Linked DNA regions of Caenorhabditis elegans. The protein of the gene in region 2 interacts with the protein of the main gene of each other region in a pairwise test. Each region holds a gene or a part of one and is shown on either strand. Other genes may lie near its edges.

What was found.
Region 1: the proteins of B0336.7 (region 2) and spr-2 interact in a two-hybrid assay, tested with the Caenorhabditis elegans proteins (2 studies listed by BioGRID).

What each region holds. Positions count from the first base shown.
Region 1 is NC_003282.8:8,889,881-8,893,520, reverse strand, and holds spr-2 (Suppressor of presenilin-2), read right to left. Parts: upstream 2,060-3,640; 5' UTR 2,047-2,059; coding exon 1,549-2,046; intron 1,476-1,548; coding exon 1,275-1,475; intron 1,226-1,274; coding exon 983-1,225; 3' UTR 778-982; downstream 1-777. Other genes in the region: C27B7.2 (Phospholipid scramblase), read right to left, coding at 33-260, 345-485, 529-663; CCCH-type zinc finger protein oma-1, read right to left, coding at 2,989-3,395, 3,439-3,640.
Region 2 is NC_003281.10:5,694,229-5,699,200, forward strand, and holds B0336.7 (THAP-type domain-containing protein), read right to left. Parts: upstream 3,139-4,972; 5' UTR 3,121-3,138; coding exon 3,112-3,120; intron 3,066-3,111; exon of another isoform or gene 3,063-3,065; coding exon 2,846-3,062; intron 2,684-2,845; coding exon 2,537-2,683; intron 2,406-2,536; coding exon 2,197-2,405; intron 1,924-2,196; coding exon 1,472-1,923; intron 1,027-1,471; coding exon 555-1,026; 3' UTR 501-554; downstream 1-500. Other genes in the region: B0336.13 (Transcription initiation factor IIA small chain homolog), read left to right, coding at 1-106, 221-353; lgg-3 (Ubiquitin-like protein atg-12), read right to left, coding at 3,322-3,405, 3,459-3,551, 3,603-3,782; Regulator of G-protein signaling rgs-5, read left to right, coding at 4,463-4,514, 4,570-4,701.

The DNA.
Region 1 (3,640 bases), on a different chromosome or scaffold from region 2:
TGTATTTTTAAAGAACATCTCGAAACAAATACTTTTTGCAATGTCACTTTATAAACTTCTCCGTTTCCATCGACCGTTAAAACGGAGTATCCATCAAACCAACTCAAATTTTGCATTCGATAATCAAATCGAAGAAGGCGTGGATTCATAATAATTCGAGTAAATGACACATATTTGACTCTCCATCTACAACGAACCGTTCCTTCGTCAATGACTGGAGCTACTGATAACATTTCCATTTCCACGTGTGGCAAGAAGACCTAAAAGATTTTGAATCTTGGATAACGAAGACTTGGCCAATTTTCTTTTCAAAAACATTGTTCTAAAAAAAAGGTTGGATAAACCTGTCCCAATGTTCCAATCATTCCAAAATGGCTCATCAGCTGTTCAATTCCTCGCTTTTCAACTGAGAAAATTTGATCATCACAAACAACGTCTTTTCGATAAAAAGTATAATCCATTCGTCGGCGGAACATGAGCGGAACCTTCAAGTTGTTTCAGTTAACCCACAAAAAACTTTTAATTTACAGTTTCAGTGAGACGGGTCGTCACATGCTCCAATTGGTGAGGTGCTGGTTTTTCATGAGAAAAATCAATGCTAAAGGACCGAGTACACGCCGATAATCTAGAAGTTGCTGCTGTGAAACGACATGTGAGCAACATCTGAAAAGAGGCGAATGAGCAAGTTAGTAGATTGAACTGTTCAAGAACTACGTGAAAAGGAAACTTCGCGGCCAATTACCATTTGTTTTGTAGGACTCTTAGACGGTATTCAATGCAGATCTTTCATTTGATTCGAATATACTTGGAATCATGTCAAAAACATATAGGAATACAATCAAGCTGAAGATAGAGCCGCAAAAATACTCGGCAGTGAATAAATACTTACAAAAACGGGATCGATTGATAAATGATAAAAATGACAATTATAACACACGGTGGGAATAATAAATTAGTATGCAACAAATTTCAGCTTCACAAGCTACTCTGCAGTGTTCTCGGGGTTGACTGCAACGTGTGCTTCAACATTCTCATCACCACCTTCTTCTTCAATTGCTCCATCCTCTTCTTCTTCTTCACCCTCCGCTTCTTCTTCAACACCATCTTCTTCTTCTTCTCCCATATCTTCCTCTTCTTCATCCTCTCCTTCTTGCCCATCCGCACTTTCATCTTGATCAACCTTCAGTGAATCACTTATGTTCCGACGAGGAATCCTTTGTCCATTCTGAAAATTGTTCAAAAATCCAGTAGCCTCATAATGGTGTTTCTAATACCTCATCTACACCGCGCTCCTCATTCAGAAAGTCTTCGATATCGTCTTCTTCAACTTCCTGCATGTCGGGCATCACGTAGTACTGCAAAGGATTGACGTACAGATCGTCTTTGATCACTTCAGCAATCTCATCACTGTCTGGTAGTGCTGCGTACGTGAGCCATTCAAGAAACGTGTGAGCTGAATCTCCGTCTTCCGGCTTCTGGAAGAGTTACATTGCGAAAGTTTTAGAAAAAATTCGATTAAAACAATAGGGATTATAAAGATAAACTCACGAATGGCGGTTTCTTGTTCTCCTTCCACTCGATTTCGGTAATTTCGGTGCTCGGTGACTCAGATTGCAGATGATACGACTTTGTAATTACTTCGTTTGTGAAGTACTCATTCGGGTCAAATGTCATAATTATTTTGAATCCACTGCGAAGATCTTCAAATTCTTGCACTTCAAGATCTCGCAGAGCGGCTAACAAGTCCTCTTGTTCTTCCGGAATAGCAGTTGAAAGAAGATGATGATTGAGAAAAGCAGTCTGCCAGAAATTGTCGATTTTTGTTGTCAGCTTCTTTCTTTTTTCATAAATCGGAAGACGTTTCTGATTGAAAATCTGCTCGACTTTCAAAACTTCTTCGGCAGCGTTTTCACTCATCACATCTAGTTGGTGCTGAATGGCGTCTAGTTCGATTAGCTTTTCCTTCACGGGACCAGCTACTTCGGATCGGAGATTTGGGAACTCATCGGCATTTTTCATTCGCTTTGCAGCCGGCTCTTCGCTCATATTTTAACTGAAAAAATTGAAGATTAACGGCAAAGAGAGCTTGTTTAGTAGAACAACAAAAGGCAGGGCGAGTTTGTAAAGCAAGTGTTCAACAGAATAAGCGCAAACGCACTGAAAATGCGCAAATAGTGTTGACTGGCGCATATTTTGAATAGAGCCTAGACACTTTTGATTTAATCAAGTGATTGATCAAGCTTACCCACAATTAACAGTTTTATAAATATCGACAATTTATGACCTAGTCAAGAACGCGAAGCTTAAAATTTAAAAAAATAAATGTATTATTATCGGTTAAACGGTTGGGAAAAAACTAATTAACATGCATGCATATAAAGTCTTTAAAACCGTAATGTTCTCATATTGAGAACAAAGCTAACTTGAATTGCAATATTATTTTGCTTTTTCATGGTACGTACTTAGATAGTTTTCGTGTTGGAACATATAACCTGATTTTCAATAAATTTGAAAATTGAATCGATCAAAAAAATTTACTACATCCTGCAATGAGGATCAAGAAGGAAATTTCGGATAAAAATTTTAAATGAACAAAGAAACGAAAGAAAAATACGTACGGGCAGTATCGGAGCCATTGAGAAGAAAGAAAGATAGAAAAAAAGAATCACAATTATGATCCGTGGCAGGTGCAATTTATTTTGAGATTGGGGAAGGGATTAGTGAGACAGAAGGCAATCGGGAACTCGAGCGGTGAAAATTGGAATACATTCAATGATTCGATGAATTACAATATACATCACAAGATTCGATATTAATTTCGAGAATTTAAAATGGGAATGGGCGCTTTTGACGATTGGGCCAAGTTTCTATGGGACAAGAACACGTCGACTAAAACTTATTATATTCACAAATGCACGCATTATTAGTTAGTATGGGGGACACGAATATTGAAAGTGTTTAAAAATTTGACAAATGTAGAGAAGTTGTTCACCACAAATTGAGATGCTTGGTCATATTTTCGGCCAATTGATCGAATCCTGGCATTGGAGAGAATGGTCCGTTACATGACATCATTGGATCAGTTGCGACAGATTTCATCAGAAGAGATTGAGCAACAGCAGAATTTGCGAAATATGCAGCAGCGGCAGCTGCGGATGCTGCATTGAGTGACGAAGAACTGAGATCCTGAGAAGGCGTGGATCCAGCAGATGAATATCCAGAAACTCCTCCAGGAGTATTTTGCTTTCCGAGCATTCCGAACGAGCCAGCATTTGGAGCGGAACCCAAAACCATCGAATCGAGTGGACTAGCTGGCCGATGTGCCATATTCCAAGCGTCTAGAGCAAACATCGATGGATCCAATGGCCAGCGAGACGGTGGATAGGTCATCGCACCTAAAACAGAGGTCATTAATTGCAACTAGCTGCCAATTTTTACCTTCCGCGTCATGCAATTCCTTCGTTGGTAGCTCATATCTTGGACCACGAGTACTAACAGGAGTTGGTCCTAGTGGCAATTTAGCCGCTGGCTCATCTGGAGTTGATGGCCTGGCAAACATTTCTAAAGGATGCTGAATGGCAGAAAGCGGGGGAGCTGCAATGCGACCATTAGTCATGATGTGCTGCTCCATTTGATCACG
Region 2 (4,972 bases):
CGACACAACTGCTCACTTATCGATATTGTGATAACGTTTGGACGTTTATTCTCAATAATGTCACGTTGAAAGATCCCCAGCGATCGTTTGATGAGCCTATTGATAAGTGAGTGTTTCTTTTATTTGTATTAAAAATAAAAAATCTAGAAAAAAGCAATTGTTTATTAATTTTCTATAAAAATTTTTGTTTCTCGATGATCTATAATTATTAATATTTCAGACTGAAAGTGGTCGCCTGTGATGGTCGTCAAACAAGCCTTCTGCAGACATTGAGCGCCCAGGGACCATCCAAGAGAGTCAATCGAGCTCACGCGGCCGCTGCAGGCGACGATGAAGATGATGACAGTGATTAGATGAACTTTCCAAATCATTGTTTCATTTTCTAATCCAATTTCTTCTCTTACACAAGCTTTCTATTGTATGGGCCCAGCTCATTTCTTTTCTAGATCTCTCACGCTGTCACAGCAAGACCTCCTCTATCTCTCTCAATCCTATAATATATTTTTCGAACGAACAACAATTTATTGATTTGAAAAAATGCAAACAAGGAAAATCTAAACAACAAAACAACTCCCGCAAACACCTCTCCGAATGCATATTGCTCTTGAATCACACGAGATCCGCTTCTGGCAACGCTTGCATTCTTTCTCATCGAGAATGTGCTTTTGAAGATGATCAACCAGACTTTGTGTTGACGAAAAGCTGGTCTTCAAGCATAGATGGCACTTTATTCTGGACTTTTTCGATGGCTTAGGCTTGCGATCCGGATCTTGGGAATATAGTACAGGTGGTTCATCCAAGACATAATTCGTTTCGATCACTTCCTCGGTGATGGGATCTTCGAAATTACCATCATACATCATAATCGGCGGATCCTCTTTCTCATGCACCGCTTCAACTTCTCGATTGTCTCCGGGACGGGTCACGGCATGCCATTCCAGGGAATTTCCACCCTCATCAACGTAGACAACCTCATCGAGAAAATTGGCTTCTCCATTTTGACCGGGAACTGGACGCCAAGATGATCTGAAAAGAAGTGATTAGGAAATCAGAAAAAAATCAAATGCTTAAAGTATATTGTCATTTTTGAAACGATTTGAAAGCCTATTTTAAAAACGCAAACATGTTTCCTCGGCGTGTCTCGCCACGATTTTTGTACTCAAATCTGAATTCAGGTCTTGCCCCGACTGAAACTTTATGGCAACCGTACCCTCCGGTTACGGTAGATTTTCTTTTCTCTTGACAATCGGAGGTTTAAAAAATAAAAATTAAAATTGTGGAAGTGTTTCCCTGTATTACATAGAAAAAATGAATAAAATAATTTTCTCCAACATTATCACTGAAAAACGTTTTAAGAAAAAGTATTGCAAATCTACCGTTGTCATGGGTACGGTAGCTGAAAAATGTTTTGCCAAGACCCATTGATCGAATTTTATCCTGTGAATTCATATTTTTAAAAGAAAAAACATACTTGTAATCGTAGACATTATGAGGTCTACATGCAAAATGATGTCCATTAAATGGATCTCCATTGCTCAAAAATTTATATCCATCGAGATGAATTGTCCGAATGACGTCACGAATTCCACTTTCAGTTTTTGCTTTTCGACAACTCAAACACGCGTAGAATTTCGTATTATTCAAACCATATCGATTAAAATGAAATTCATAATATAAATGTGGTTGAGCAACTGGAGTCATTACTGCAACTTGATGAACATTTCGTGTTTTATGCTTATTAAAAGGCATTCGATAGCGAATTTTGTACTCGACGACTGAAGAATTGTTGGTTGTATCGGTTGATTGCATCATTTCCATTTTATGCTTTACAGCGGGCTCCCATGGAAATGGCTCGGCGAGCCCCGGACGACGTTGTCGATATTTTGGAAGTGCGGTCATTTTCCAGAAGATTCGATCATCGATCTGAAAAGAAATATTAATTCTAAAGAAAAATTCAAAATTCAAAAAACTCGCTTGAAAAATAAAAAATTTCCTGCTATAAACTTTTTTTGTAATATTCAAACTTTTTCACAAATTCAAATTTTCCCAATATCGTTGGACTTGCCTTTTTTGGTTTTTTTTTGTGTTTTTGGCGAAAATGGGTCTTTTGATGTTTTTTTTTGGAGAAACTTTCTTTTTTTTAATTCCGTGCTTTGAGATAATTTTTTTCATGAAATTCGTAGAATTCCAACTAACCATGACAAAAGTGTCGGCTGAGAAGTGATAACAACAGATATATGGTTCTTGTGTTGCACTCTGAAGTACTGTAGCTGGAAGCCGAAAGAAATGTAACCATTGCTCTTTGAGTTCTTCTGATTTTGGCCACTTGAAAAGACGGATTTTTTCGGATTCGGAACGTTGGCAGACGAGACAGGAGGCGCTTGATCCAACTATATTTCGGATTCCTGAAAATTTCAAGGTCATGTTATTTTTTTTTCTGGATTTCCTTTCGCAAAGATTTGAATTTTGTTTCGTTTTTTAGCAATTTTAACCGGATTTTTTAAATAATCAAAATTCCAGTTTTAAATGCACATACTCTTATAATTTTCCTGTTTCTGATTGCCTTCAATTCTGTAAATCTCATGATAAACGAGATCTTCCATTTCATTCTCGTAATAAACTTTTTCAGCTTCAACCATTTCGTGAGCATTGTCTACTTGAACGGCGTTGTGTGGATAGACTTCTGTAAAAATTAATGTTTAATTTGATTTTTCTCAAATTTTAAAAGTTTTTCAAAAGATAAATTGGACCTGGAAGATCAAATTTTCAATTTCCCAAAAAAATGTTTGGAAACTTCAAAACTTGATTTTTTTCAATTTTTCCAGTAGTTCTATAAATAATGAACCTTCGTAGTCAATTTTCATGCTAACAGGAATTTCTTCATGATTGCTCGAAGTTGGCTCCTGATCACTAATATATTCCTGCTGAAACTGCTCGACCGGCTCAATATCCTTTTCATAAATCATCTCGTGTTGCTCCATATCAATCTCAGCTTCTTCCCCATCATCATCCATTTCCTCGTATTCCGACGAATCTCGATCATCCTCATCGTGATCGATTTTCTTAAATTTGAGATTCAATTTTTCAGTTTAAAAAAGTTCTAAGACTTACCTTGCTCATTATCTTTTATCTAGAGATCTGAAATATTTTAAAATTTATTTCCTGTTACTTTCTTTGAGAAGTGGAGATAGCAAGTAGATAAAGACTTGAAAAAACATATTATATTTTTTTGAAAAGTAAAAATGAAATTGTGGTATAAGTGAATTTATTGTGACATCAAGTACATATAATACATTTAAAAAATCCCGCTTCGCATGTTTTTCATCCGTAGGCCGGTGTAATGCTGTACTGAAGCTCCAGAATCTCCTTATCGGTGATTTTCACAGAATAACATCGGGATAGCGTCTGAAAATTTGATTTTTATAAAATTATATCGAGTTTTTCAAATTAAAACTAACCTCAAACGTGGTGTCAGGAGATGGGGCAAATGTGTTATCAATGTACAAGAAGAGTGAGTTGTTGGCTTGAATATTCAGCAGTTTTCGCAATTTCTGGAAGAAAATAATATTATTTTCACATTTTTTAAGAATTTCAATTCTTACCAAGATGAAGGAAGCAACAGTGTCCGTTGGATTCACCACCATTTTCTTATTTTTAAGAACTGGCGCATCTGCGATATTCCTCAGCCTTACGGTCACCTTATCTGACTTTGGTGGTTCGGCGGAAGCTGCAGCGGTGGGTTCCGTATTTCCTGTTGGAGTTGTGGCGGTTTCTGTTTCCATTTTCTGCAAAAAACCCCACTTAAAAAGAAAAAACAAATGGGAATAAAGTATTAGAGCCGAAAAAATTCGAAAAAAAATTTGAATGATAACTACGGTTGCTTTGAAGGAACATACTTAACATTTTGACCTTGGTCTCGCCTGGAATATTGCTATTTTATGGAAAGAACTGGATTTAAGATGTGTTTTTTTAAAAAACAGGGTTTTTAAAATCTAAAAAACTAATTAGCTCGTAAAATTTTAAAAATTCAATAATATTTTACAAAAAAATCTGACACACAAGCATTTATACTTGCTATAGTTTGAAAACTTCAAACGTGAAAAACGCTAGAATGTAAAGGAACACAATCAACTCTGGGAACTTGCGTCTCGACTGGAATTTAAAAAAACCAATTACTATTGTAGTAAAATGGCGGAAGTTTGAATTTCTCTCAGAATATTGAAGAAAATATTTCTTAAACGCTAAAAAAAGGTCGCAGCTGACATATATTTTCTTGCCTCGTTTCTTCGAGTGGTCGTTGACGCGTTTGTCGTGTGCTTTAGAGAAAAGAGACGGAGACGTGCAGACAGGGGGTGCGCAGAAGTTGATAACCCTCTTGTGGACAAAAATAAATCCCTTCTATTTATTTCATAAAGCTCGATTTTCTAAATTTTACTCAGAAAATGTCATAAAATATTGAAAAATGAGCAGTTTTCTCGGGCGACTTCGCCGCAAAAAAGACAAAGAACAAAATGGCAAGTTTCTAAGAAAACCACGTAAGGAATCGATAATCTAATTGAAAAAATTTAGGTCATACTGCCACGTCATCTGACGGAGCTTATCAAAATGGGAATGCTCATAGAGATTCACTTGTAAATGATCATATTTGTATTCCAGCACAGAGAAATTCATTAACAGTTGCTCAACAATCAGCGGATATCGGTGAGTTGATTGTAACTTCTGAGAACACATTTTAAAAATTCTGAAAAACTCGAAAAAATATGAAGTAACCCAATACTAGTTGATAAGTAGGAAAACATTTATAACAGGGCGAAATTGATCAAGAGTCTCGCGTCGTACCCCCGCCCACAAAAGAGGCGTGGCCCAGAGTCAGAGAAAATTGGCAAATTTTTTGATGAAAAAACATATTTTATGTTCACATTATAGAACCCAGATTTCACATGGTCTATAATTCTTATAAATTTTATTGAAA